Mus musculus: one gene and its partners. The protein of the gene in region 2 purifies or fractionates together with the protein of the main gene of each other region. This does not show direct contact. Links are inferred from orthologs where the notes say so. Each region holds a gene or a part of one and is shown on either strand. Other genes may lie near its edges.

Region 1 (3,500 bases), on a different chromosome or scaffold from region 2:
CTCTTACAATATCCGGCATAGCTTCGGAAAGGAAGGCAAGAGGACAGACTATACGCCTTTCAGTTGCATGAAGATTATCCTGACCAACCCACCAGGCCAAGGGGATTATCATGGTAAGTGCTTGTGATGGATGCTGGTGAGTGCTGTTTGCATTAGTGAAGGACCTAGCTTGTCTGTGTCTAGTTGGAGCCCCATTACTCTGACAGTAGTTTGTCTTATTGCTGAGCTCACTCAGCTTGTGCTTGGCTTCTGCTGGAGTAGGTTTCCTTTCCTCCTCTGTTCTTGTCTTGTGTTCTGCAAGGAGCTTGGGATAGAGGTGTTTTAAAGCTGTGAGAGGTGTGGAAGCCCTAGTTTCACAATAACACATTTTGTTGATGTTCAAAAGGCCTTGTGCTGAGGCACAGTGTATTGTTTGTCTTACTACTGTCATCTGAGTAACAGATTAAGTAAGCAGTTTAACAAAGCCCCGGTGTCAAGGGTGTATGCCAGTTTGCCTAAGTTGTGTACACACACACACACACACACACACACACACACACGTTTTTCAGTTCAAAAACGTATTTTCTAAAATAATTCAACCAGCACATCTTTAAAAGCTTCCCATTTTGTCTGGTATGTCAGGGAATGATTAATAGTTTATATTAGTAACCTTTCTAGATTGCCAAAGCTTGCTGTAACCAGATGTCAGTATTTTGTTTTGTTTTAGAATCTTAAATGAAACCACCATGAAAAGAACATACCGTTAAGCTGTTAAAAATTGGGCAATCATAAACAATATTTTTAGAATTTCCCTCCCCTCCCCTCCCCTCCCCTCCCCTCCCCTCCGTTTCTGTTTGCTTGATAGGTGAATCAAGTTGCTATAAATAGATGTGGCATGGTATGTGGTCTGTTTTCGAGTGGGTTCCATGACTGCTGCTTGTAATATTTGTCCTGTTTCTCTGGATGGCATATTTTATAGATATGTTATGTGCATTTGAGTATAATGCAGTTTAATCTGAAGCTTCATTGTTGGTTTTTGGGCTAGGTGATCTATTTAGAGATGAAAGTGGGGGAATCAGAATTATTTTATTATGGCCTATATGTCCTTTTGTGTTTATCAATGTTTGTTTTAAGAAATTGGGAGCCTCAACATTTGGTGCACATATATTCACAGCTGTATCTTGTTAATATGCGGTGACTTCATCTCTTTTGACTACTTCTGGCCTTGAAACCAGAGGAGCAGAGTTAGCTGGTTTTCCATTTCTGTTTGCTTGATAGATGTTTTCCATCATGGGCGTCACCATATGTATACTAGTAAGAGGTGCATCTCGGAGGCATCAGGCAGGAAACCAGTTCTTAATTTCTATAGTGTTTTGAATCTGTAGCTCTTAAAACTGCTTAGGACTTGTGTCTGTCCGCTGACTCCAACACCTGTTCTTGCAAGCTGCCCTTCATTCTCTAGCATATGAATCACAGTGTTCTAAGCCTGGTCTCTTCATCAGCAACCCTGCTATTTTACGTCTACTGCCTGCTTGGCATCTTCACATTGAGCCTCTCCAGTGCTTTGCAGGTTTTCTCTCCTTGAAATAGGCTTGAGATGCTCTTCCCCAAGAATGTCAGGTTGCAGGAGACTGGGCAAGGACTCTGTTCAGATGGCGTTCTCTGGGGAACAGAATGTTCTAATGGAACTACTTTTCCTGTCCCTCTATAGAAGCCTGGTTTACGTATCCATTTATATTATCTATATGGTAAACACTGTGAGATGATAGATTTTCTGGATGTAAAACTCAGAGAAGTATTAAGCTGTCCTAATGTCATCTCTTGAGCTACTCTGAGATGTGTTTATGCTGAAACTTCAATCACAGATCAGCCAGTTGGCTCTGCCCAGGGCACTGGCTGTGATGGAGTTCTGCTCAGGAGTTTCATCTTCTGTCAGTTGCGAATCTCTGCACTTACCTCAAATAGACCTTGAGACCCTGTTTCTTTGTTACTGATTTTTTTTTTCAGGGAAATAGGGTATTTTTTCTTTATTTAGGATAGAGAAGTGACATCTGACCTCAGTATATGCTCAGTCAGAAACTGGACATGTGTCCTCTTTTGTTTTCTTATTAATAAAATTATCAGCCACCTACATTGCTTCGACTTCATCACCTAATGCTGCTTAGAATAGTTGAAGAACCAGTTATGAATCTATGTAAGTCTAACTGTATTCTGGCCTATCGTCTCTTACAGCTGTATCATTCTGCACTTTTGTTTGTTTGTTTGAGTTCCTTCTTTTTATTAACTCATGCACAACTACTTGTTTTCTGGTTTGTTGAAACAGTAAGTCAGACAACACTTGCCACAGTAATGCCTGTCAAAGTGGCTTCTTATGAAAACTCCAGCACCACATTCATCAGAAGGACACTCTCGACGAAGTAGGCAAATTTTGCCATTTTCATCCACCTTATAGTATTTCAGCACATCCAACTTAACCTTCTTCCTCTTATGCTTGTTCTTCTTGGGAGTGGTGTAAGACTTCTTCCTTCTCTTAGCACCACCACGAAGTCTCAACACCAGATGAAGGGTGGACTCCTTTTGAATGTTGTACTCGGACAAAGTCCGGCCATCTTCCAGCGGAGGTCAGCCTCTGCTGATCAGGAGGAATGTCCTGGGTCTTGGCCTTTACATTTTCTTTAGTGTCCGAGGGTTCAACCTCTAGCGTGATGGTCTTCCCAAAGATCTGCACTGTAGATCACCACCTATGCCATCTCCACCCACGAAGCATCAGAAAGATCACTCTACTCTTTTAACACTGTTGTTAGCTGTGGGTGTGTTCACCTGTCTTTTATTATCTTGTTTGTTCAGCCCGAAGATCATTCTCTTTGAAGTGAAGAGTAGGAACAGGGAATGTTATCTGTAAAAGTGACACCAGCCTGGCTAAGTACTGGCTTACTTCCTCTGAGTTCTGAGTGAGCATATTGGGAAAAGAACCTTCCTTGAGTTTCCTTCAGTTTCCTCCTGGCGTTGTCTTTCAGGACTCTTGCGTGGGTCAGTTCACCTTGTCAAGTATAATTTGGGTGACACTGTTCAGTCTCTCTCTCTCTCTCTCTCTCTCTCTCTCTCTAATACACCTTAATTCTTCTTTAATTATTGTAAATTAATTATTATTAATTAATGGAAACAACCAATAATTACCATTGCTTCTTTCTCATTGGGTTTTTTTTTCTATATTTCAAACCCAGATGCTGCAAAAATAGGCTCTTTTTAAAAATCCAGTAAGATATTTGTATTCTTTGAGAATTTCATACATGTATTCCCACTCTTTGATCATATTCATCCTCACCACTCCCCTAACTCCTCCCAGACCCACCCCTCCTCACCTCACCACTTCATCTCTCTGGTTTTTAATTTAAATAACTTACTGTGTTCCATTTGTATCCAGTCAGCCTTGTGGAATGCCAGAGTCTTTACTATGTATCATATGTTTTCTCAAAATGTTTCCTGTACTAAAGTGTATTTGTTTAAATCTGAATAAAGGA
Region 2 (4,182 bases):
GGGTTATATATAATCCGGCTCCATCAACCCATTCAACCTTACTGGCTACTATTCCTTTGTACCAACCTTCCTTTTGTTAAGAGGAATAAATTACAATAGGGTTCACTTACACAGGTACTACAGAGTAGATTTTAAACCATACATGCACTGGCTAGTTTTGTGTCAACCTGACACAAGCTAGAGTCATCACTGAGGAAGGAGCATCCGTTGAGGAAATGCCTCCATGAGATCCAGCTGTAAAGCATTTTCTCAATTAGTGATCAATGAGGGAGGACCCATCCCATTCTGGGTGGTACCATCCCTGAGCTAGTGGTCCTGGCTCCCGTAAGAAAGCAGGCTGAGCAAGCCACAGGGAACAAACCAGTAAGCAGCACCCTCCATGGCCTCTGCATCAGCTCTTGCTTCCAGGTTTGAGTTCCTGTCCTGAATTCCTCCAATGATTGACTGTGATCTCCGAGTACAAGCCAAATAAACCCTTTCCTCCCCAACTTGCTTTCTGGTCATGGAGTTTAGTCATAGCAATAGAAACACTAAAACAAGATGATAGTTCAGGCTCCCTTTTTTGACATAACAAAAAAAGGTATTTTATGAAAAAATAAGAAGGCAGTTATTTAAGCTGTCTTTTAAAGATGTGTTATGCATCCATAAAATCCAAAATTATTATTCCCAGAGTGCACAAATGTGGAAGAACAATTACAGATAACATTAATATAGTAACATCTATCTTGGTATGGGGGTGGGTTTAAGTATATCTAAGCTTCTGTGAAAACAACGGTCCTGATATATAGTTCACCGGATCTAAAGTTTACCCCCCAAACAAACCAAAAGCAAACACTAGTCAATGAGGAGCTCGATAAAGAAGTTAGAGATTAATGTATTGATCTCTGCAGTTTAAATGGGTAGGTTTGTGACAATTCAAATTAAAGAAAAAAATGTTAGTGATAGGCTCTAAGTAGTGAGTCTATGATCTTTAAAAAAAAATTTAAGTTGGGCAGGGGTAGTGCATGCCCGTCATCCCAGCATTTGGGAGGGGGATTTAGATCTTTGAGTCCAAGACCAGCCTGGTCTACAGAGTTTCAGGATAGCCAGGGCAACACAGAGAGAGCCTGTCTCAAAAGACAATACACAAACAGATAAATAACTAAAAATTAAAATTCTTTAGATTTTGTTAAATGCTGTGAAATCTCCATAGTAAAATCTGGGGGGAAATGGCATTGATAATAACCCATAACAGACTATACTTGATTAAGTTGTAAAATGTTATAAGCTTAAGTGCAAGTACCAGGGGCTTTATTTTCTTTCTGAGATTGGGGCTCACACTGTAGCTGAGGCTGGCCTAGAACTCACTAGCAAACTTGCCACCCCCCTGCCAAATCCTGGAACTAAAGGAATGCACTACCAAGCCCAGCCAATAGCAGGCATTTTTGCCCCTTGATGCTCTGGAACCATATATTTACCTCTTACAACACAGTTCTTTCTCTCACTAATTATAATAGTTTGATGGCCATAGATAGTATCTTATTTGTATTTCTGTCCTCAATTCTTTTCATGCTGGGTAAAAAATACGTGCTCAGAAATAATAGAATGGCAGAGAATGTGGACTATTGCTAAGGACCAACATATATTTCTAGCAGTTCATTTCTCACATATTCTAAAAATTAATCTGTTCAATTTGCTAAAGAAACTTCTTCACCCATAAACTTCCAAACATAATTTTTAAAAACCCGCATCTATATCCATTTTTTATTCTATTTCTTAAACCCGACACTGAAGGCCTAACATTCAACATTCAGAAAGAATTCTAAAGAGGCACCCTGGATTTGTTCAAATCCTGGATAAACTCGGAACTGAGAGATTCCTGAAATTGGAACTCTGGGAAGAAGGATAAAAAAATGGGACATTAAAAAGTTATAAATCTAATTTATCAAAAAGCCTATTTGGGGCTGGAGAGATAGCTCAACAATTAAGAGGACAGACTGCTCTTGAAGAGGTCCTGAGTTTAATTCCCAGCAACCATATGATGGCTCACAATCATCTATAATGGGATCCGATGTCCTCTCCTGGTGTGTCTGACAGCGTACTCACATACTATATATATATATATATTCTTTTTTTTAAAGCCTACTAAGACACATAAGTGAATCTTTAAAGACACTAGTCATCTACACGCCCACCGACCTAGAGCCAGACTGGCTCCTCCCCTCCTCCATCCAATTACAACCACTCAAACAGCTGGAGCGCACGCTACTTCCAGGAAGGCAAGAGGCCGGAGCGTAACCCTTGGAACCCAGACCTTCTCACCTAACACTCCGCAAACAACGCGGTCCTGCGGTGCAAGCACCAGGTTTGGACCAGAACACCCGAGTCCAAGTCCCAGCTCCACTTCCGGACTCGTCTGTGCCTTGCACAAGTCTATTACTCTCGGAGAAATGTAATGATTCTCTATGGACCACAGCGAGATGCGGAATGTAAAGAAAGCTTTAAGGAAGATGCAAGCGACTCTCCAACTTGTTAGGGCAGTAGCGCTCCCAGCGGGGGCAGAGCGGCCAGAGGACCAATCACAATCACCTCTCCCTTCACTCCCTTCCCGCCGCGCGCGGGTGCTGAGGCCGCTCCCTGCGGTCCGGCCCCTGCAGAAGCCTCGCGGCGTTGTTTGCCATACCTGCAGCCACCTGGTCAGCGGGCCCCTCCTGTTGACCCATGACGAAGTCTTGCACGAGGCCACACAGGGCGCCCATAGGCGCCACTGCCTCCTCCAGACCGGTGGCGGCAGCCATGACGCTAGCCAGAGATTGTGGGAGGGGGAAGTGGGTGTGGCTACGAGATGTGTCTCTCCGCGCACGCGCCTCCATGGCCAATAGTTGGGCGCAGACTTCAGGGGCGGGGCACCTCCAGGTCACGTGCCTGCCGGCTCTGGGCCAGGCAGTCCCTTCAGGGACCTAACGGCCCCTCCCCAGAGGGCGGGGCCTGGGCCGGGGCGCGGCTCCGGGAGGGGAAGTGACTGCCGGGCACGCAGCCGGGGCGGTTGAGGGCGCATAATTCCCGGCCGCTCTCCCCGGGAGACGGGCGACAGGGCGGGCACCTGGCTGGGTGGGGCCGAGGGGCGGTACGCATCCTGGGAAAAGCCAATGAGAAAACCAGACCCGGCCCGAGGGGCGGTGCCGTCGGTCACATGCGCACCTGGGGCGGCTGGCGACCGTGGCGCGGCCACCCCAAGCGGGAGGAAGGGAGCGGGGCCGGGCCGGGGCGGGGTTAGGCAGGTGAGTGACAGGCTCCGGGGGGCCGGCCCCAGCTGGGAGCTCGGAGTGATCCTGGAGTAGCTGCGGCGGTGTCCGCCCCCTCCCTCCGCCCCTCCAGCCGGGCTGGTCTCTGGCCGGGCACTGTCGCGGGCCCCCCTGGCCTGGCCACCTCCCTCTCCGCTGGCCCGCAAAGTTTGTGGCGAAGCCGGCGTCGGGCAGAGCGCTCCCCAGGGGAGATCCAGGAGCTCTCGATGTCGGGCTGCGGGAGTCGTTGACCCGGGGACGCCGCGGTTCGGGGCAGCAGCGTGGAGCAGCCGGCCGACCGCCGCCTCTGGTGCATGGGGGACCGGCTGAGAAGCCAGCATGGGCAACTGCGTGGGGAGACAGCGCCGGGAGAGGCCGGCTGCTCCGGGACACCCCCGCAAGCGAGCAGGTAACGCCAGGAAAGGCAGCGGGGTCCCGGCGCGCTGCCAGTTGGCCCTTGCCTTGCCCGAACCTTGGGGTTCCCGAGCGACCTCGCTCGGCGCCGGGCGCTTGGGTTCCCCCACGGCTTCTCGGAGCCAGACGGGGCCCTCCCCGGCGCGGGCTGTCTGGGAAGCGAGTTGGGGTAACTGCGAGCGCTGACCCGGCCGGGAGGCCAACTCGCTCCCACCGGGAAGCTGGGGATGGGGGCGGGGGCAGGAAATGTTTCCAGACCGCGACGAGGCTGGCGGAGGGGGCCAAGCGAGTGCGCCGCGGATCTGGCAGCCCCGGCCAGGGTCGGCCGGCGGCCGGCCGGGGCGCGGCGTGGGCAGCCTGCGTCCCCAGAAGTCGGAGCGATCGAGGCGAACACAGTCGCTCATTCCAGCGAGTCACTGTGTCATTATCGGGCTGCAGGTCGTTGTCTGCGGGAATCCGACTTGTAAAAAGCAGTGCAGGACCATGGAAAATAGAAATCTTTATT
Region 3 (3,500 bases), on a different chromosome or scaffold from region 2:
TGGAGGACTACAAGCTAATTAAGTGCACTTACTAACTGATTTCAATATTTATTTTCATTAATGAGAAAAAGACACATTTCAATTGATCCACGTCTCTGTCAATAACAATCTATACATACATACATACATATATATATGTTACAGATATATATCTGTAACATTTAAGATTTCCCTACTAAGTTAAAAACAACACTCATCTAGCTAATTTTTAAAAAATTCATTTATGTTCTCTATAAGCTCTCACCTTTCTTACTCTCATCTCTAGCCCTCCTTCTCTCTCTCCCTTCCCCACTCCCTCCACATGGCCATGGCCAGCCTCTCTCTCCCTCTTTTTACCTTCTCTCTTCATCTCTGCCTTTCTACAATAAAGCTCTAAAACCATAACAAAATTTTTTTCATTTATTACTGTGTGCACGTGTACTACAGTATGCATGTGTGCACGTGTACTACAGTATGCACGTGGCGGTCAGAAGACAGCCTGTGGAACTTGTTCTCTCCTTCCACTTTTATGTAGCTCTGGGGATGGAACTCTGGTTGCCATCTTATATTAAAAAAAAAAAAAACACCTTTGCCTGCTGAGACATCTTACTGACTGTACTGGCTAGTTTTGTGTCAACTTGACACAGGCTGGAGTTATCACAGAGAAAGGAGCTTCAGTTGGGGAAATGCCTCCATGAGATCCAGCTGTAAGGCATTTTTCTCAATTAGTGATCTAGGGGGGAGGTCCCCTTGTCAGTGGTACCAGCTCTGGGCTGGTAGTCTTGGTTCTATAAGAGAGCAGGCTGAGCAAGCCAGGGGAAGCAAGCCAGTAAGGAACATCCCTCCATGGCCTCTACATCAGCTCCTGCTTCCTGACCTGCTTGAGTTCCAGTTCTGACTTCCTTTAGTGATGAACAGCAATGTGGAAGTGTAAGCCGAATAAACCCTTTCCTCCCCGACTTGGTTCTTGGTCATGATGTTTTGTCCAGGAATAGAAACCCTGACTAAGACACTGACCAAAGGCTAAAAACACAACAACAACAACAACAACAACATCAACAACATCCCAACAAAACAGGCTTACCTGCTATTTTCTCTAAAGAGATAGTCAAGCACCATAAAGAGTCCTTTGAGCACGACTTGAGTTGATGCACTGATAATAGGGATTTGTATTGCCTCCTCTTTACCATGGATTGGTGTGACTTTCTCTTCTTTTTGAAGAACAGCTGAGAGATGCCTCTGTAAGAAATTACCGTATCATTCATTAAGTGGGTAGAGGGTTGACAGAAGGAAAATCCTTTGCAAAGTATTAATACAAACCAAAATGAAGCAGGTATTCATGAACGCAAAAACTCAAATCGCTTTGCATTTCTGGTCTTGCCTCTTTACCTATCACAGTAGTTAGGATGGAACTCCAGGGCTTTCTGCTTTTCTGTAACTGACCTACCCAAGCCCAGCAATGGAGTTTGGATTTCCATGTTAACAAATATTCCTCTGAGCCAGACACTTTAATAAAGACATTTAGGAGAATAACTTCTTCAGGCAACTAGCATGCTCTTTAGTACCTTTCAGAAGCAATGAACTAAAATTTAAAAGTACCAATGGATTTGAATAAAGTTTTTTTTTCCCTAAATGCCTGAATTATATATAGGAAGTAAGTCTGGTAATGAGGCTATCATATGATAAACATATTTTACTAATATTCATTTTTCTTGCTATTATTTTGGTAGATGAACCCAGGTCTTCAAGAACAGTAGTAAGAGCAGGGCATGGTATTGAGAGCCTTTCATCCCAGCACCCAGGAGACAGAGGCAGGTGGATTTCTATGAATTCGAAGCCAGCCTGGTTTATAGCCAAGACTACACAGAAAAACTTTCTCAAAAACAAAACTGACTAACAACAAAAAGACTACTACTAGGCAGGGACTCTAATGAGCCACACCCAGACCTGATAAGTAAAATTTAAATAGTTTAGAGAAACAATAAAAAAGGAAATAAAACTAAGACCAGAGGCATTGAAGAGTTAAGCATAGACTGCTATTAGTGACCCAAGAATTCCTCAACATACAAATCTTTCCATGAGGAAAAGTAAGGATATGGTTAGTGATGAAAGTTTAGGTTAATCGGGGTATCTAGCAAGTTCAAGGCCAGACTATAATACATAAGACCTTATCTACAAAACTGAAAACAAAAACATATACAATACTATTAAGTCTTAAGAAAAAAGAAAAGAAAAGAAACAAGGCTGGAGGAGAACCCAGGTTTAGTTTCCAGCACTCATGTGGCAGCTCACAACTGTCTGTAACTCGTTTCAGGGGGATCCGAAGCCTTCTTCTTGCCTCCATGGGTACACACACACACACACACACACACACATACACACATACATATATACATATATACATACATAAATAAATCTTAAATAACAAAAAAAGAATCCTCCTTGAAATCCCTCTTCTAGGTTTAGCCCATTAAATGTAGACCTTACCTCACACCAAGAAAACTTCTCTTTGCAACAGTCAGAGACCATCACAGAAAACCACAATGAATCAAAAGGCAGAGTTATGGAGCCCAATCCCAAAGGATACATCTACAAGGTAACTCTTGCACCTAAGTCAGGGATCACTGTAGAAGACAATGGGTATGTGGAAAGACTATAAAACTGGAGAAACAAAAATTTGCTGTGAGATTTTGTGTGCTAGGCCATACCCATAAAGTCTCACCAACATGAAGGCCTAAACAAGAACTGAACAAGGATAATAGGCATGCTAATGTAGAAGGACAGGGCAGAAGGCCTCAATCCTACACAAAGAACTGTGGAAAATGAGAATAGTCTTCCAAGGAGGAGGGCACCAATCGTTTATCCAACACCAATTTCAGACACAGATGCAGACGCAGATTCACACTTGTGCACACGCACACCCTACATGCAAGAAACTTAACTACATATTGCTACAGGGAAGATTTATATATAGTATGATTCCAATCACAAGGCATTCTAGAAAAGACAAAGCCATAGAGTCAGCAAGGAGATGAGTGCTTGTCTGGGTTTCAGGAGTGTCAAAGGGTACAGGAGGAATGAAGAAGTACAATATAGAGGATGTTTTAGGACAGCAAATCTATTCTGTATGATGCCTTAATGGTGGGTGACTAGGCAAATCCTAGTTGAACTAAACAACATGGGGACTAAGCTGTCAGAAAAACCATGGCCTTTGGGTGACAATAACACACTAATGCTGATTCATGAACTATAAGAAGTATATTCTATGACTCTATTTATTGTCACGGAGGACAGTGGCGATGAGTAAAATTGTACCCCACGTTCTCAGGGTGGGCCCAAGGTTAAACAAACACCTTTTGCAGAGAAGAGTGTCTGGGAAGAGAAGTTTACTGGTTAAGCCTCTAGGCCTTTAGGTACCTCATTAAAATGGAGATCTGTCTTGAGGCTAAGTGACCTCACATCCTCTACCTGTGGAGGTGTTTGGGGCATTTCGGCCTGATAGTCACAAACCTATGGAGAGC
Region 4 (3,752 bases), on a different chromosome or scaffold from region 2:
ATGACTGAAGATGACCTGCGTTCTATCCCTGGAAACCATACACTAGAAGAGAGAACCCCTCCTGAAACTTGTCCTCTGACCTCCACTTAACACATTGTGGCATGTGCCCTCTTCTCAAATGTAGTTAAAATTTTAATGAATGTGAGAATCTTCCCGACAGTGCTGGAAATCCCAGTGGGGTTGAGATGGAAAAACTGCTGCAGCCTGACCCAGAGCTCAGAGGTCCCTTAAGTCCCCTTGGCCCCAGGAGAACTTACATTGCTGGATCAGAGGTCCCATCCTTTACACAGTTTAGGTGGCCCAGGGGTATAAACCACAGCATCCCTAGAGGCAGCTTGGCGAAGGGAACTAGCAGGAAGGCGTGGACACCCACATCAATACCACTCAAATGAAAGAGATTTCCCCATGTGACTGGTCATGATGGGACTGGAAATGTACAGATGGCATCAAAGTTGAGTCTGTTCTATCAGCGGGCGCCGCACTGTGGGTGTTGCTACCTCCTTGTGACCTTTAGGTCAGCCTTGTCAAAGTACTCTTTGTTTTCAAACACTGTTTTTACCCACTACAAGACCCCAGCTTATCCATCCAGGCTCACTGAGGGACCTCTGGACCTGCTGCCATCATTCAGTCCTGCGAGCAGTCAGCCATGGGCCACGTGTGCTGGTCCCAATGGCACAAGTCTGTCTTCCACCAACCCTGCCTCTCCTGAGTTACGAAAAAGACTGTGGGAATTATATGTGCAATTTCCCATTCTTTAGACAAGCTGGACATGACATCACCCATGCCAAGAATGATATTTCTGCCTGCTAAGGCATTCGTGGCCTCCATAGCCTGGCTGACAGCAAAGGAGACAGTCTGGTAGGGAGGGGTTATAGGATAAATTAAGTGCTGCCTTCTCAGGGCAGATCAGATTCAAGTGGCCTAGAGGTCACCACGGTCTACATTAGGATGCTCTGAGGTGAGAGTTTAGGATCGCGTATCTACTTAACAAGCATGTAACTAGTGCTGCCGATTCCTACTAGAGGAAACCAGCGTGTCATTAGATCTACGGTTCTACGATAGCGTGACAGCGAGCTGGAGCGTCCCAAGGCCCAATCACAAGGAGCCTTTAGTGCCCTTGTCAGACGGTGTTGGCTTCCTGCGATCCAGCTCCCAACAGGATCCCACGGCTAAGAACCGAAGGGACGCCCCGGCGAGAGCTACCAACATTTTTCCCGCTTTCGGAGTAGCCCGCACGACAAATACACCGCTTCTAGCAAACTACTCGCCGAATCCCTGGAGTGTGGCGTGTCCCTTGCACGACCCCGTAGCCACACCACGCCCTCTCCTCGTTCCCAGGAAGTGCGCGGAAGGAGCGGAAGTACACACCACCGGGGGATTGTGGGAACCGCGGTTCCGGGATGGTGGGCGGCGGCGGTAGCGGCGGCGGGCTCTTAGAGAACGCTAACCCCCTCATCTATGAGCGTTCCGGGGAGCGGCCAGTGACGGCGGGCGAGGAAGATGAGGAAGTGCCGGACAGCATCGACGCCCGGGAGATCTTCGATATCCGTCGCTGCAGGGCGCTGGCGGGACGGTGGGGGCTTGGGGTGTCGGCAAGAAGTGATGCGCAGCCCGCTGGTGGAGGGGTGTCCCGGTTAGGCGTTGCCTGCGGAGATTTTGAGTGGGCCAAAACTTAGAGTCCCTTTTCCTTCACTTGGCACATCTTATCCGCTCCATTAATGACCCGGAGCATCCACTGACACTGGAGGAATTGAACGTAGTAGAGCAAGTTCGGATTCAGGTGAGTAGTTTACTCGAGTAATCAAAAAGGTACCGTTGTACCTCAGAGGCTGGTGTTCTCCGTTCACAAGCCCCCAAGAGGATCTGTGGGAGGTGTGTTAATGTTTATGGAGCCGATAAAAAGTTGGGTGACTTGCCCAAATCGATAAACTAAAGAGTGTCTTTGGGCTAGGGGCCGCCGTGCGATCACTGCGATCTGATCTCCCTTGTCATCGCAGGTTAGCGACCCAGAGAGCACAGTAGCAGTGGCCTTCACACCCACCATCCCACACTGCAGCATGGCCACGCTTATTGGCCTCTCCATCAAAGTCAAGCTGCTGCGATCCCTTCCCCAGCGGTTCAAGGTCAGTTGGAGTCAAGCCCCCGAGGGTGAAACAAACTACTGGGGCGGGCGAGGGGACATCGGGCGGAGATCGGAAGGATCCGAACTCGCAGAGTTGAACCCCCAAGTTGATGTGACAAGAATATTGGGGGGAAAAAACTCCAGAAAATAGGAGTGTGGTGGAAAGGGCAGCTGGGAGCTGTGAATGGGCGTGATCGATCGAGGCACTGGAAGGCTTTTAAAGTCAATAGTCGCTGACTAGGTCCTAGGGTAAAAGTGGATTGACTGACTGCAGGTGGGTTTGGGGTGGCTTGGAAGAGCCAGAATCAAGAGGGGTGACTGGGAGTTCAGATGGTTGGGAGGTAGTGTCCAAAAGAAAAGGACAGGCGGGTAAATGCTCGGGCCCACATTGTCTTTCCTGCAGATGGATGTACACATTACACCCGGGACCCACGCCTCCGAGCATGCAGGTTAGTGTGGACTGCTGGGCCCCAAACTAGGTGAGGCTTCCCCTTTGCCACAGTCATCTGTGGGGGCAAGATTAGGACCAGGGGACTAAGTGAATAAAATGGCCATACTACAGCTTAGACCAAAGCTGGCCTGACTGAAATCTCCTGCTTCCCATGACCCACCCTCCTGTGGTCCTCAAGTACACAGGGACATTGGGTCGGGCTTCAGGAAACACTGGAGGGAGGCAGACATAAGCAGTCCCTGGTGGTGACGGGCATTCCAAATGATGAAGCTAGTTATGGGTACAGGTGATGCATATAGCCTGATCCAGGCTTGGAGTCCTGAGACTATCAGAAAAGAACTTTATTGGTAGAAATATAATGTATACTGAGGCTAGCAACCTGGCCCAAGTTTGCTTTAATCCTGTTTTTCCACCCTTCTTTTCCTACCCAGTGAACAAACAACTTGCAGATAAGGAGCGAGTGGCAGCTGCCCTGGAGAATACACACCTGCTTGAGGTTGTTAATCAGTGTTTATCCGCCCGCTCGTGAGCCTGGCTTTGGACCCCCAGCCTGCACTCAGGTTGTCCTGGCCTCAGCTCCACCAAGGGCTCATGGCTTTGTTTTCTTGAATCACTGACAAGGAGAAACTTAACACTTTTTATTTTGTAATAAACCCTTAATTTATATTCATTTCCCAGTATGCCTTAGCGTCTCTCATAGTGGACTCATTTTCGGTTGTAGTAGAGTGGGGTGGGGACCTATGAAGGGTGGGTCCATGAGGTGCCCTCATTGCTTCTGATAACTCCCAGTGGGGCTGGAAAAATGGCTCAACAGTTAAAAACACTTACTGCTCTTAAGATCTGGGTTAGGTTCCCAGCGCCCAAGTTACAACCATCTGTAACTTCAGTTCCAGAGGATCTTACATTCTCTTCTTGCCTCCAAAGGCACCAGGAACACATGTGATACACACATGTATAGGCAAATACTCATACATATAAAGTAAATCAGCAAGCTGTATATAGTGGTACAAACTTTTTAGTCCCAGCACTCAGGAGACTGAGGCAAGCACATCTATGATTTTGACAACAGCTTGGTCTACATAGAGAGTTCCAGGACAGCCAAGGCAGTTATAGGGAGACCCTGTCTCAAAAAATAATAATAATTTTTAAAAATTTGTTTAGCCTTTCCAATGTTTCAGA
Region 5 (3,500 bases), on a different chromosome or scaffold from region 2:
GTTCACCCTTTTGTCAGGTCTGTTGGGAAAGACCCCCTGAGGGCCTCTGATTTGCCACTTGTGCTTGTAGACATGCTTCTTGCTGCCAGTTTTCACCACCAAGTAGTGTTTCCAGTAACAGTTGCAGCTGATAGCCCCCGACTTTGGCCCTGTTCCAGTCTCTACTGTCATGCTCAGTAACCTTCAGGACTTCAAGAGAAACATGACAGTACTTCCACTTAAAGACAAGAGAAGTGGGTTTTAGAGAATTGTATGGTTCACTTGACATCACACAAGCAATTGTCAGCATCTAGCACACAGGTCCTGGTCTACTCAGTTCTAGCATCTGTGCTGTTTCCCACCCCGGTTTCACCCTGTGACCTCCATAAATGATGGAGGCACCTCCTATGTGAGTGATGTGGGGACCGTTTGTGCTCCACCTGACTCCAAGGTGGTAGCAAAAACAAATGACACAGGCATTTGCAAACTGCAGACTCAGGGAAGTGGGGACAGTTCAAGACAGGATTTCTCTGCACAGCCCTGGCTGTCCTGGAACCCTACCTGGATTTCTACCACTTTGCATGACCTGTGATGTTAGTAACATTATAGATTACAGGATTTAAGAAGTAATCATTTAGGCCAGGCATGGTGTGGCACACGCCTTTATTTAATCCCAATACCAGGGAAGCAGAGGCAGGCAGATCTCTACAGAGGTCAGCCTGATCTACGTAGTGAGTCACAAGCCATCCAGACTTGCACAGTGAGACCCTGTCTCAAAATAAAATAACTTTAAGAACCAAACATTTTAGCCAGGCGTGGTGGCACATGCCTTTAATCCCAGCACTCCGGAGGTAGAGGCAGGCGGATCTCTGAGTTTGAGGCCAGCCTGGTCTACAAAGTGAGTTCCAGGACAGCCAGGGCTACACAGAGAAACCCTGTCTCATAAAACATTAAAAAAAAAAAAGAACCAAACATTTCCCAAATACTTATGACAGGTACATGCTAGGCTATTTCCATTTTAAGTGTCTAGTTTTAACTCAACTAACAAAAGGGTCTCATTCCATTTATCTAGTTCTAGAAAGTCAGAAAAAAATAGTGACCTCACCTAGTAGGAGAGTGCCTGTGTACCCTGTGTCTTGCTAATGCTGTTGTTACTGTCATTCCTACAGAAAATCTATAAACATAATTAAAAAGTACTTTGAGGAATATGCCTTAGTCGGCCAAGATATTCTTGAAAATAAAGAAAACTGGGATAAGATTTTAGCCCTTGTTCCTGAGAATATCCTTTCCTGCGGTTACTATGTAAGCCAGTTGTGTCGGTCTGTGACATAGATGTGTGCGTTTACATAGTCTCTGGGACATTATACATGTGTGTGTTTACATAGTCTCTGGGACATTATAGATGTGTGCATTTACCTTGTCACTGTGTCATTATTCATGTGTACTGTCTGCATAGTCTCTGTGTCATTATTCATGTGTACTGTCTGCATAGTCTCTGTGACATTATACATGTGTGCTGTCTGCATAGTCTCTGTGACATTATACATGTCTACATTTTTGTATCACTGGGCTACAGTAAGAAATGGGGCCATTCTGTAGAACAGTTTCATCATCTTACAAGTTGTTCCTAGAATTAGTGGTTAAGAATGGGGAATCATTTCATCTAGATATGATGGCTTAAGTACTTTCTAATTACGTTAGCATTTCTGCCAGATCACTACTATAGTTGCACAGGGAAACTTTTAATGCTGTAAGTGCTGAGCACGTGTGTCTCAGGGATCATTAATAGTTTCTGAATGTGTGAAGCGTCAACCTTCTTGTAATAATATGTACTAAAGACTTACTCATTGAGGTATCCCAAGTGACCATGCTCCTTAATGAAGCATCACCAATTCATGATGAGCTGCAAAGAGGGTTCCAGAAGTTCCACAGTTCACCTCAGCGCTGGGAACACCTGAGGAAAGTGGCCAACTCATCTCAGGTATCCACCCCTGGGCCCCGTGTTTACCAACACAGCTCCTGACCGAGTTATGACCGTCTGTGTTCCCTCTGATCCTCATGGCGGTCTCTCTCACATCTGCTTTTAGAATATGAAGAACGATAAGTGCGGCCCCTGGCTGGAGTGGGAGGTCATGCTCCAGTACTGTTTCCCACGCCTGGATGTCAACGTCAGCAAGGGAGTCAATCACTTACTGAAGAGCCCTTTCAGTGTTCATCCCAAGACAGGTACAGTGCAAACAAAGTCAGGAAAACTGAAGGAAAAACACCTGTCTTGTCTTGTCTCTCAGTGTAGCTGGCGTGGGACTCAATGTGCAGATCAAGCCTCACTCAGAGATCTGCCCGTCTCTGCCCCCAAGTGCTGGAATTAAAGGCGAGTGCCACCCCGACTGGATCAGTATGTGTTAGCAAGGATGTCATTGGTTGTGAATACATGTCTATGAGGTGAAATGTTGAAGAGTCGACCTGTTGGCTACTGTCTACCTTGACAATGTTCCCCTTGTCAGTTAAGGAGCTCCCGGGAGAACTGCTACCAGATAAAGGTTTTGGGGTTAGGGATGGAGCTCAGTTTGCAGAGTGTTTGCCTGGCATAGCCAAAGCCCTGGGCTCCATCCCCAGCAATCATAAAACTGTGTGTGATGGCACAGGCCTACAATCCCGCTAATTAGGAGGAGGAAATGGGAGGATCTGTAATGCAATGTGGAGCTTGAGGCCAGCCTCAGCTATCTGGGAATCTTGTCTCAAAAAAAGGAAAAAAGAAGAAAGAAAGAAAGAAAGAAAGAAAGAAAGAAAGAAAGAAAGAAAGAAAGAAAGAAAACTGAAGCCTGGATCCGAGATTTTACACATTTGTGATCACAGCACTCAGAAGGTAGAGAAGCAAGAGAGTTAGAAACCTGGGAGATGACAGGAAGGTCAGAGTCATCCCCGGCTACACAGCAAGTTCCAAGCCAGCCTGGATTCTATGGTGGGACCCACTTCAAAAGGAATCATTGTATCCTCAGCTCCTAGATACGCATTTTTTTTTTTTTTTTTTTTTTGGTTTTTCGAGACAAGGTTTCTCTGTATAGCCCTGGCTGTCCTGGAACTCACTCTGTAGACCAGGCTGGCCTCGAACTCAGAAATCCGCCTGCCTCTGCCTCCCCAGTGCTGGGACTAAAGGCGTGCGCCACCACGCCCGGCTTCTAGATACGCATTTTCTGTATCGCCTCAGAGGTAGATTTATAAGATCATGCTACCTACCAACTTAACATTACCTTTAGCAAAATATCATTTATTTATTACCAAGCAGATATCACAGTATATTTTTATATAAAATAAGCTGCTTGTTGTTGGATATCATTGTCTGTGCAGTCCATCATTTGACCAAAAATATCCCTATGGCCACATGACTGTATTTTCAAAATATTTTGTGGGACTGCTGAGATGGCTCAGTGGATGAAGGATCTTACACGCGTTCTCGCAACCGGCCAGGAAGAACACAACAAACCGGAATCTTCTGCGGCAAAAGCTTTATTGCTTACATC
Region 6 (3,197 bases), on a different chromosome or scaffold from region 2:
TCCAAGGAAGGAGGAAAGGGCTGGCTCTGATAGGGCTCTTGATCATATTTCTTCCAGGAGGAACCAATGGCTGGCACACAGGCAGGCAGAGCCAAGATGTTCATGGTGGCTGTGAAGCAAGCACTGAGCCAAGCTAACTTTGACACCTTTACCCAGGCCCTGCAGCACTATAAGAGTTCTGATGACTTTGAAGCCCTAGTGGCCTCTCTCACCTGTCTCTTTGCTGAAGACCCCAAGAAACACACCCTGCTTAAAGGTGCCCTGGTTTTCAAAATTCTGCTATCAGGTTAACACTACAGCAGTGGAGGTGGGGCTTCTTATAGGGCCCAGGGTTGACTCTGATTCTCAGAGAAAAGGCCTAGTAGGTAGGCCATGGTCCACAGAGTCTGGTCCATCAGTCACAGTATATGGCTCAGACAACTACTTCCCACAGGTTTCTACCAGTTTGTTCGACCCCACCACAAGCAGCAGTTTGAGGACATCTGCTTCCAGCTAACAGGCCAACGATGTGGCTACCAGCCAGGTAACAACTTTCCTTTTGGAGAGCAAGCACAGTCAACTGTGGACTTTACCAGTGAGCAAGGTCCCAGGCTAGACGCTTAACCTCAGACTTGAAGGGCAGTTTACACTGGAAATGGGCTTAGTAGGCATCCCTGGGCTCTTGCTTAGCTACTTTAACCAATATTCTCCCAGATTCTGTCTGCAAAGGGTAGCACTTTTTGTTGAACTTTTAGGCATCCAAGAGACCTCCCCTAGGGAATTCATGCTAGAGGCTTGGCACCTGTCCTACTTCTCTCCTGCCTGAGCAGCTGAGCTGGCCCCTCTACTGCTGCAGTGCTTTATGGAGGGCAGGTGTGGGAGAGGGGATTTATTTATCCACAGAGCAGTACTTGTTCCAGTGCTTGATGCACGCAGGCATGGCAGAGGGAAAACTTACCCTTTGGGCTCAGTACTCATTGAGGTGTAGGTACGTATGCCCCTGAGCAGGACTCATTGGGCCCTCTTAAGACAGTCAGGTGGGTCTGATGTCAGGGTCCCCTTTCCTGTGTGAGGATTATAAGGCCTAATCTTAGGAGCATGTCTCTTCAGGAAAGAGAGAGCTGGAGTCTAAACTGACCTTGTCTGAAGGTGTAGACAGGCAGCTGGATCCTGGACAGCACCTGAACCAGGGGCAGCCTCACCTGTCTGCCCATCCAACCTCCAAAGGTACCTGGCTCCTAATAACCCCCAGTGGACTTAAAAATCCTTGAAGAGGCAGGCTGGACTGCTTGGTTCTTAAATCTATTTGTCCTGAGCAGCTAGCAGACTCTACAGAGATTCCTGGAAAGAAGTGGTGGTGGGGAACGTCCCAAGCCATTTGACACCCACTACACACCTCTCACCCTTCCAGCTCATTTTTCCAAACCAGGACACACCAGCCATTGTACAAAAGTGGGATGTGCAGTAGAAAAACCTGGCCAGCCTGCTGTGAGTGACTACCTATCTGATGTCCACAAGGCTCTGGGATCTGCAAGCTGCAACCAGCTTACGGCAGCTCTGAGGGCATACAAACAGGATGATGACCTGGACAAGGTGGTGGCTGTGGTGGCAGCACTGACCACTGCAAAACCTGAACACTTACCCTTGCTACAGAGTATGTAATCCTTGGGTGTAGGGCATAGGTTCTGGGAAGGGTGGTGAAGGCTGTCTGTGAGAAGTATGTGCAGAGCTTGAGCAGAAGTTTCCCCACAGGATTTGGCATGTTTGTGCGTCGGCATCATAAGCCTCAGTTCCTACAGACCTGTGCAGACCTAATGGGCCTGCCTACCACAGGCAAGGACTTGGAGCTCGAAGGTCCCAGAGATGAGAGCCCAACTGTGCCTCCTGAGCTTACCCATGAGGACCTGAAACCAGGTGAGGGCCCACTGGAAGACTCCTACCCTTGCCCTGTTTGTTACCCTGAGTCCACTGCACCGGGGGCTAACAGGAAGCCCATAAGTTTCTCGCACTCGTTGCTATCTTTAGGGCCCTCGATGTCCAAGAAACCTGAGAAGACCCAGAGTAAGATCTCATCCTTCTTTAGACAGAGGCCAGATGAGAGTGTGAGGTCTGATGATACCACCCCAAAGCCCATGCAACTTCCTCCTAGACTACCCCATGAGCTTATGAAGCCTCATCGGAGTAAGCAATAGGGGCTACAGTGAATGTTGGTTATGGTAGGGCACTGAACAGTGTGCTCACTTAGACCTCCTGCAACAGAATTTGTATGCCCGGCCTGTGCAACTGAGGATACAGTGCTTTTCCAGTGCCCCTCCTGTGACTTCTACCGCTGTTGGGCCTGTTGGAAACTTCAACTCCAGGTTGGGGTCTAACCCTCTCCAGCCCATCAGGCATCTCTCCAGGTGGTGGGGGCTAAGGGAGCAATGCCAAGCTTCAGTGCCTAGCAGGTATCTCCACAGGCCTCTAGACTGTGTCCGGCTTGTGGTGCTGTTAACAGGAAGCAGAGCATTACACAGGTCATCTGGCCGAAGCCCCAGTGAAGACAGATGGAGCCCTTTGCTTGCCCTGATGTGGTTAAACCCACTGCAGGTCTCATGCTTGGCTGTCCAATGAGATCTGAATCTACTTGTGAAGTTCTGAAACCTCAAATAGCCTATATTGGCATTGCACATGTACCACTGAAGGTGTAGGCTGTCCAATAAAACTAAGTTATCAGGATGGTGTCTGTATTGTGGTCTTAAACTGTGTGTCATGGCAGTGCCAAGTGTGGCACACTATCAATCCCTGCAAAAACAGGATCTCCTGTAGTTCCAGGGCAGCCAAAGCTACAGAAAGACACCTTTTTTAAAAAATATGTGGGAGGATAAAGGTCTGTTAAGATCTTTTCCAGACTTGCAGCATTCTCCATACCAGTTAGCTTTAAGCCAATAAGGAGCTTCCCTCCATCCATCCCCTGTATTGCCCCTTTCATCAGCTAGACACCATTGTGTCCCCACACCAACTATGCACAATTCTGTAGCTTAACCCTCTAGAACACAGCTCCTACTGCAGTGTCAGCTCATCCACAGGGAGCATGAGCATACCACACCACCCACAATCGCTTGTTGCTGCTGCCTAGGCTACTTAACACACGTAGGCTTCTGCCTAGAATGTATGCTTTGCTCACCTTGTGCTTGCATGTGGTGAGACTACGGGAGCTTGGGATTGTAGGGGGATCT
Region 7 (2,873 bases), on a different chromosome or scaffold from region 2:
TAAAAAACCACATGCAGACTTGCTTGGCCTCAAAGGAAAAGCCGTAGAACTACACTGAATGGGGGGAGGCAAGGTGGAGAGGCCACTGAAAGCCACGCCTGCTTTAGCCACACTCAGACCTGTCCCTGAGAGCTGTGTTTCCACACCCTCTCAATGGCTCAAATGTAGACTGGGACAGTCTTCTCTCCTCCCTTCCTCTAGCAGGAGGTAAAAGGAATGAACAAGCTAGATTTCCAGCCATTGCTATCCCCTGTGCAAGCTAGTCACCAATGTTACGTTAGTAATGAGTGTCCACATGTGAGTGTTTGCATATGCACATTTCCCCCAACTAATGACACTATATTTTGGGATGGAGATTTTAGGGGACAGATGTAACGAAGTGCTGACAGAGGGTATGGGTCTAGAGATGAAAATATTCCTTAGGTATTTAAAGGCATTTACTTGGTTTTCCTTCACCTACCCAATCCAAATAACTCATTTAAAGTCCAATAAACACAGTGTTTTCTTATTGTACCAATTCTGTTTATTGTGAAAGAAGTCATTTCATTTAGTAAAGACGGCTGGTGGTGTTGGGTCAAAATGATAAATGTAACATGCCTGGTCGGTGTGTCAGGAAAGGATCATGGTTTGTTTGAAAGTTTGTGGGTGCCACAGGCATGGAATCTTCACATTTTCTAGAACGCCAGGAAGAGTCCTTTAAGTGGTGGACTTGGGTCCAAGTTCTCAAAATAGGTTTCTATATAAACTTTTTAGGAACACATCTGCTGTGAAAAAGATGTTTGTAGCACGGGGACTCCAAACACAGCCGGGAGAATGTTTATTAAGGGCTGGATGTTCTTCCACACAAGGAAAGGATGGCCAGAGCCACGAATAGGCAGAGCCTCTGTGCACTTAGGCTGGGATTCAATGACTGGAGACAAAAAAAAAAAAAAACAAAACAAAAAACAAAAAAAAAACAAAACAAAACAAAAAAAACCAAAAACCAACCAAAAAACCCAACCACTTGTATTTGTTGTTAGGAAGAAGTCTGAAGGAGTTTGATGAGAAAGACATGTTCAGAAGCTGTGATCTGGTCTGAGGTCAGATGGCTCAGCTCAGTGTGAGGGCATTCAGAAGAGATCCAGACAAGGCAGTGTGTCTAGTTCAGAAGGCAGTCTCTTGAAAACTGGTGTTGATGTCCTCTTGTTTGTTGACCACTTGAATTAGAAACTTATTCCTTATGGAGGCTTTACTTAGTTACATTGTAAGCAAAGAGTCTGGCCAGAAATGCAAAAGGAGAGCGAGGAGAGCCAGGCCTGTAGCCACCTTCAGTGCGCAGTCATACTGGGACATCTGCAGCACCATTCTGGAATACGCAGAGCCATGCTGAGTTGCAGGACAGGTGTCTGAAGTTCCGTTTGGATGATTCCCAAGCCTATTTCTGAATTCCTATAAAGACAGAAAAGAAAAACAATGTTCAGGAAAAAAAAAATTCCTGCAGCTGTATCAGCCATAGCTCCTTTCACTATAGAAACATCTGGATGCCTGCAGGGTCTAGGTAACCCCATGGTTGGAATGGACAAGTCTGTTTCTTTTTTCCATGATTAGAACACAGTCATGTTTTTTGTTTTGTTTTTAGACTCCATGGGAGACATTTTGTTCATCAAACACACTCTTGAAGGCAGATAATACAAGATGCTCTGCCGTAGGAAGGCTGAGCCCACCTCCAGGGAGGCCTAACAGGGGTCTGAGTGACCAGAGGGCCCCAGTCCAGTGTTCCCTCCGTTTGCCTTGGTGTGCCAGACAGGGAAGCCTGGAGAACACGGCTGGAGGAGAGTGCAGGTGAGTGAGCACCACGGCCTGCTCTCGAGGAGGCATCCACTGAGCAAGGCTTCTAGTCTGCCTGAGCTGAAGGGGGGCATGCTACTCCCACGGCAGCTTTAGTATTTCAAAGCACCTGCTGGCTCCGTTAGATAAGATGGTTCACATTATACAGCTCCTGTCAAAACAATGCCCCCATACGGCATGACCATCCCTGCTAGAGCCAACAGGATGTGGAGATGGGACGATCAGAGGCCATGAAGGAGAGGCTCAGCAGAGGCAGCGTGGCACAGTTGTCCTTGAGGCCATAGGATTCTCTTGTGCCTCCCTGAGCACTCTGACAATCCTGAACACCTCTGTTTCCTGTGTGGAAGCGGCTGCTATCCTGCTGCTGACTGGTCTGAATAAGAGCTCAGGCCCTACACTGCTGCTGTGAAGGCAGAGCTGTCTTCAATGGTGGTCTTTATTTTGTATTATTTTAATTAATAATAAAGAGTCTCATTACAGGAGCAGAAAGAGTGCAGTGAATACCCTGGGCCGAAAGCTGCCTAGATCAGGCCTGGCTGAAATGGCAGTGTCCCCATTCCTGCTCCCCTGGCCTGCTCTATGTTCAAACTCACTAAGCTCAGTCAAACGGCAGAGACCACACTATACTATGGTGCTCCGTGAGAACCAAAACCCACATAACAAACCGGCACCCAGAGATACCGTTAGGAGAGAGCTGCTGACTGAGAAGATGCTCAGCCAACACTCACAGTCACCTAATCTACAGGATGAGCACATTTAAATGCAGAAACACAAGGTAGCATGGCTTCTCCAAACAAGGACTAGATGCCAGGGAAACTGAAATGGAAGAAAGGCGTGCCAGACAAACACCATGGACTAAGAAGTGCCCTGGGGCCTGGTATAAGACGAGTAGAAAGATCAGAGAGGACAGAAATGAAACTCCCAGGGAGACAGTGCGAAAGGAAAGTCTGGGGAGCTAGTCTGACCTCCAGGACCCACAGGGGAGAAGGGGAGAAAGGCACTTCTAAGTTCTCTGTCTCCCACACGTGTGGCGTGGCACACCCACA

The links.
Region 1: the proteins of Mms19 (region 2) and Prim2 purify together in Homo sapiens (affinity purification with western blotting; 5 studies listed by BioGRID and IntAct, with this or other methods). This does not show direct contact. The link is inferred for Mus musculus from reciprocal best matches to the Homo sapiens genes MMS19 and PRIM2.
Region 3: the proteins of Mms19 (region 2) and Brip1 purify together in Homo sapiens (affinity purification with western blotting; 3 studies listed by BioGRID and IntAct, with this or other methods). This does not show direct contact. The link is inferred for Mus musculus from reciprocal best matches to the Homo sapiens genes MMS19 and BRIP1.
Region 4: the proteins of Mms19 (region 2) and Ciao2b purify together in Homo sapiens (affinity purification with western blotting; 11 studies listed by BioGRID and IntAct, counting the BioPlex papers as one, with this or other methods). This does not show direct contact. The link is inferred for Mus musculus from reciprocal best matches to the Homo sapiens genes MMS19 and CIAO2B.
Region 5: the proteins of Mms19 (region 2) and Prim1 purify together in Homo sapiens (affinity purification with western blotting; 3 studies listed by BioGRID and IntAct, with this or other methods). This does not show direct contact. The link is inferred for Mus musculus from reciprocal best matches to the Homo sapiens genes MMS19 and PRIM1.
Region 6: the proteins of Mms19 (region 2) and Rtel1 purify together in Homo sapiens (affinity purification with western blotting; 4 studies listed by BioGRID and IntAct, with this or other methods). This does not show direct contact. The link is inferred for Mus musculus from reciprocal best matches to the Homo sapiens genes MMS19 and RTEL1.
Region 7: the proteins of Mms19 (region 2) and Cdkal1 purify together in Homo sapiens (affinity purification with mass spectrometry; 4 studies listed by BioGRID and IntAct, counting the BioPlex papers as one, with this or other methods). This does not show direct contact. The link is inferred for Mus musculus from reciprocal best matches to the Homo sapiens genes MMS19 and CDKAL1.

Annotation. Positions count from the first base shown.
Region 1 is NC_000067.6:33,481,295-33,484,794, reverse strand, and holds part of Prim2 (DNA primase large subunit), read left to right. Parts: coding exon 1-113; intron 114-2,180; exon of another isoform or gene 2,181-2,706; intron 2,707-3,383; exon of another isoform or gene 3,384-3,393; intron 3,394-3,500. UniProt on the Homo sapiens protein: Regulatory subunit of the DNA primase complex and component of the DNA polymerase alpha complex (also known as the alpha DNA polymerase-primase complex) which play an essential role in the initiation of DNA synthesis.
Region 2 is NC_000085.6:41,978,337-41,982,518, forward strand, and holds the start of Mms19 (MMS19 nucleotide excision repair protein homolog), read right to left. Parts: upstream 2,801-4,182; 5' UTR 2,778-2,800; coding exon 2,663-2,777; intron 1-2,662. Other genes in the region: Ubtd1 (ubiquitin domain-containing protein 1), read left to right, coding at 3,603-3,672. UniProt on the Homo sapiens protein: Key component of the cytosolic iron-sulfur protein assembly (CIA) complex, a multiprotein complex that mediates the incorporation of iron-sulfur cluster into apoproteins specifically involved in DNA metabolism and genomic integrity.
Region 3 is NC_000077.6:86,142,194-86,145,693, forward strand, and holds part of Brip1 (Fanconi anemia group J protein homolog), read right to left. Parts: intron 1,219-3,500; coding exon 1,064-1,218; intron 1-1,063. UniProt on the Homo sapiens protein: DNA-dependent ATPase and 5'-3' DNA helicase required for the maintenance of chromosomal stability. Acts late in the Fanconi anemia pathway, after FANCD2 ubiquitination.
Region 4 is NC_000074.6:104,639,339-104,643,090, reverse strand, and holds Ciao2b (cytosolic iron-sulfur assembly component 2B), read left to right. Parts: upstream 1-1,362; 5' UTR 1,363-1,400; coding exon 1,401-1,542; intron 1,543-1,700; coding exon 1,701-1,780; intron 1,781-1,997; coding exon 1,998-2,123; intron 2,124-2,525; coding exon 2,526-2,571; intron 2,572-3,004; coding exon 3,005-3,102; 3' UTR 3,103-3,252; downstream 3,253-3,752.
Region 5 is NC_000076.6:128,021,715-128,025,214, forward strand, and holds part of Prim1 (DNA primase small subunit), read left to right. Parts: coding exon 1-17; intron 18-1,148; coding exon 1,149-1,258; intron 1,259-1,868; coding exon 1,869-1,960; intron 1,961-2,066; coding exon 2,067-2,205; intron 2,206-3,500. UniProt on the Homo sapiens protein: Catalytic subunit of the DNA primase complex and component of the DNA polymerase alpha complex (also known as the alpha DNA polymerase-primase complex - primosome/replisome) which play an essential role in the initiation of DNA synthesis.
Region 6 is NC_000068.7:181,353,920-181,357,116, forward strand, and holds the end of Rtel1 (regulator of telomere elongation helicase 1), read left to right. Parts: intron 1-57; coding exon 58-256; intron 257-433; coding exon 434-523; intron 524-1,089; coding exon 1,090-1,206; intron 1,207-1,390; coding exon 1,391-1,633; intron 1,634-1,731; coding exon 1,732-1,893; intron 1,894-1,978; coding exon of another isoform or gene 1,979-2,004; coding exon 2,005-2,171; 3' UTR 2,172-2,238; coding exon of another isoform or gene 2,239-2,339; 3' UTR 2,340-2,438; coding exon of another isoform or gene 2,439-2,519; 3' UTR 2,520-2,697; downstream 2,698-3,197. UniProt on the Homo sapiens protein: A probable ATP-dependent DNA helicase implicated in telomere-length regulation, DNA repair and the maintenance of genomic stability. Acts as an anti-recombinase to counteract toxic recombination and limit crossover during meiosis.
Region 7 is NC_000079.6:29,324,801-29,327,673, forward strand, and holds the end of Cdkal1 (threonylcarbamoyladenosine tRNA methylthiotransferase), read right to left. Parts: intron 1,429-2,873; coding exon 1,237-1,428; 3' UTR 501-1,236; downstream 1-500. UniProt on the Homo sapiens protein: Catalyzes the methylthiolation of N6-threonylcarbamoyladenosine (t(6)A), leading to the formation of 2-methylthio-N6-threonylcarbamoyladenosine (ms(2)t(6)A) at position 37 in tRNAs that read codons beginning with adenine.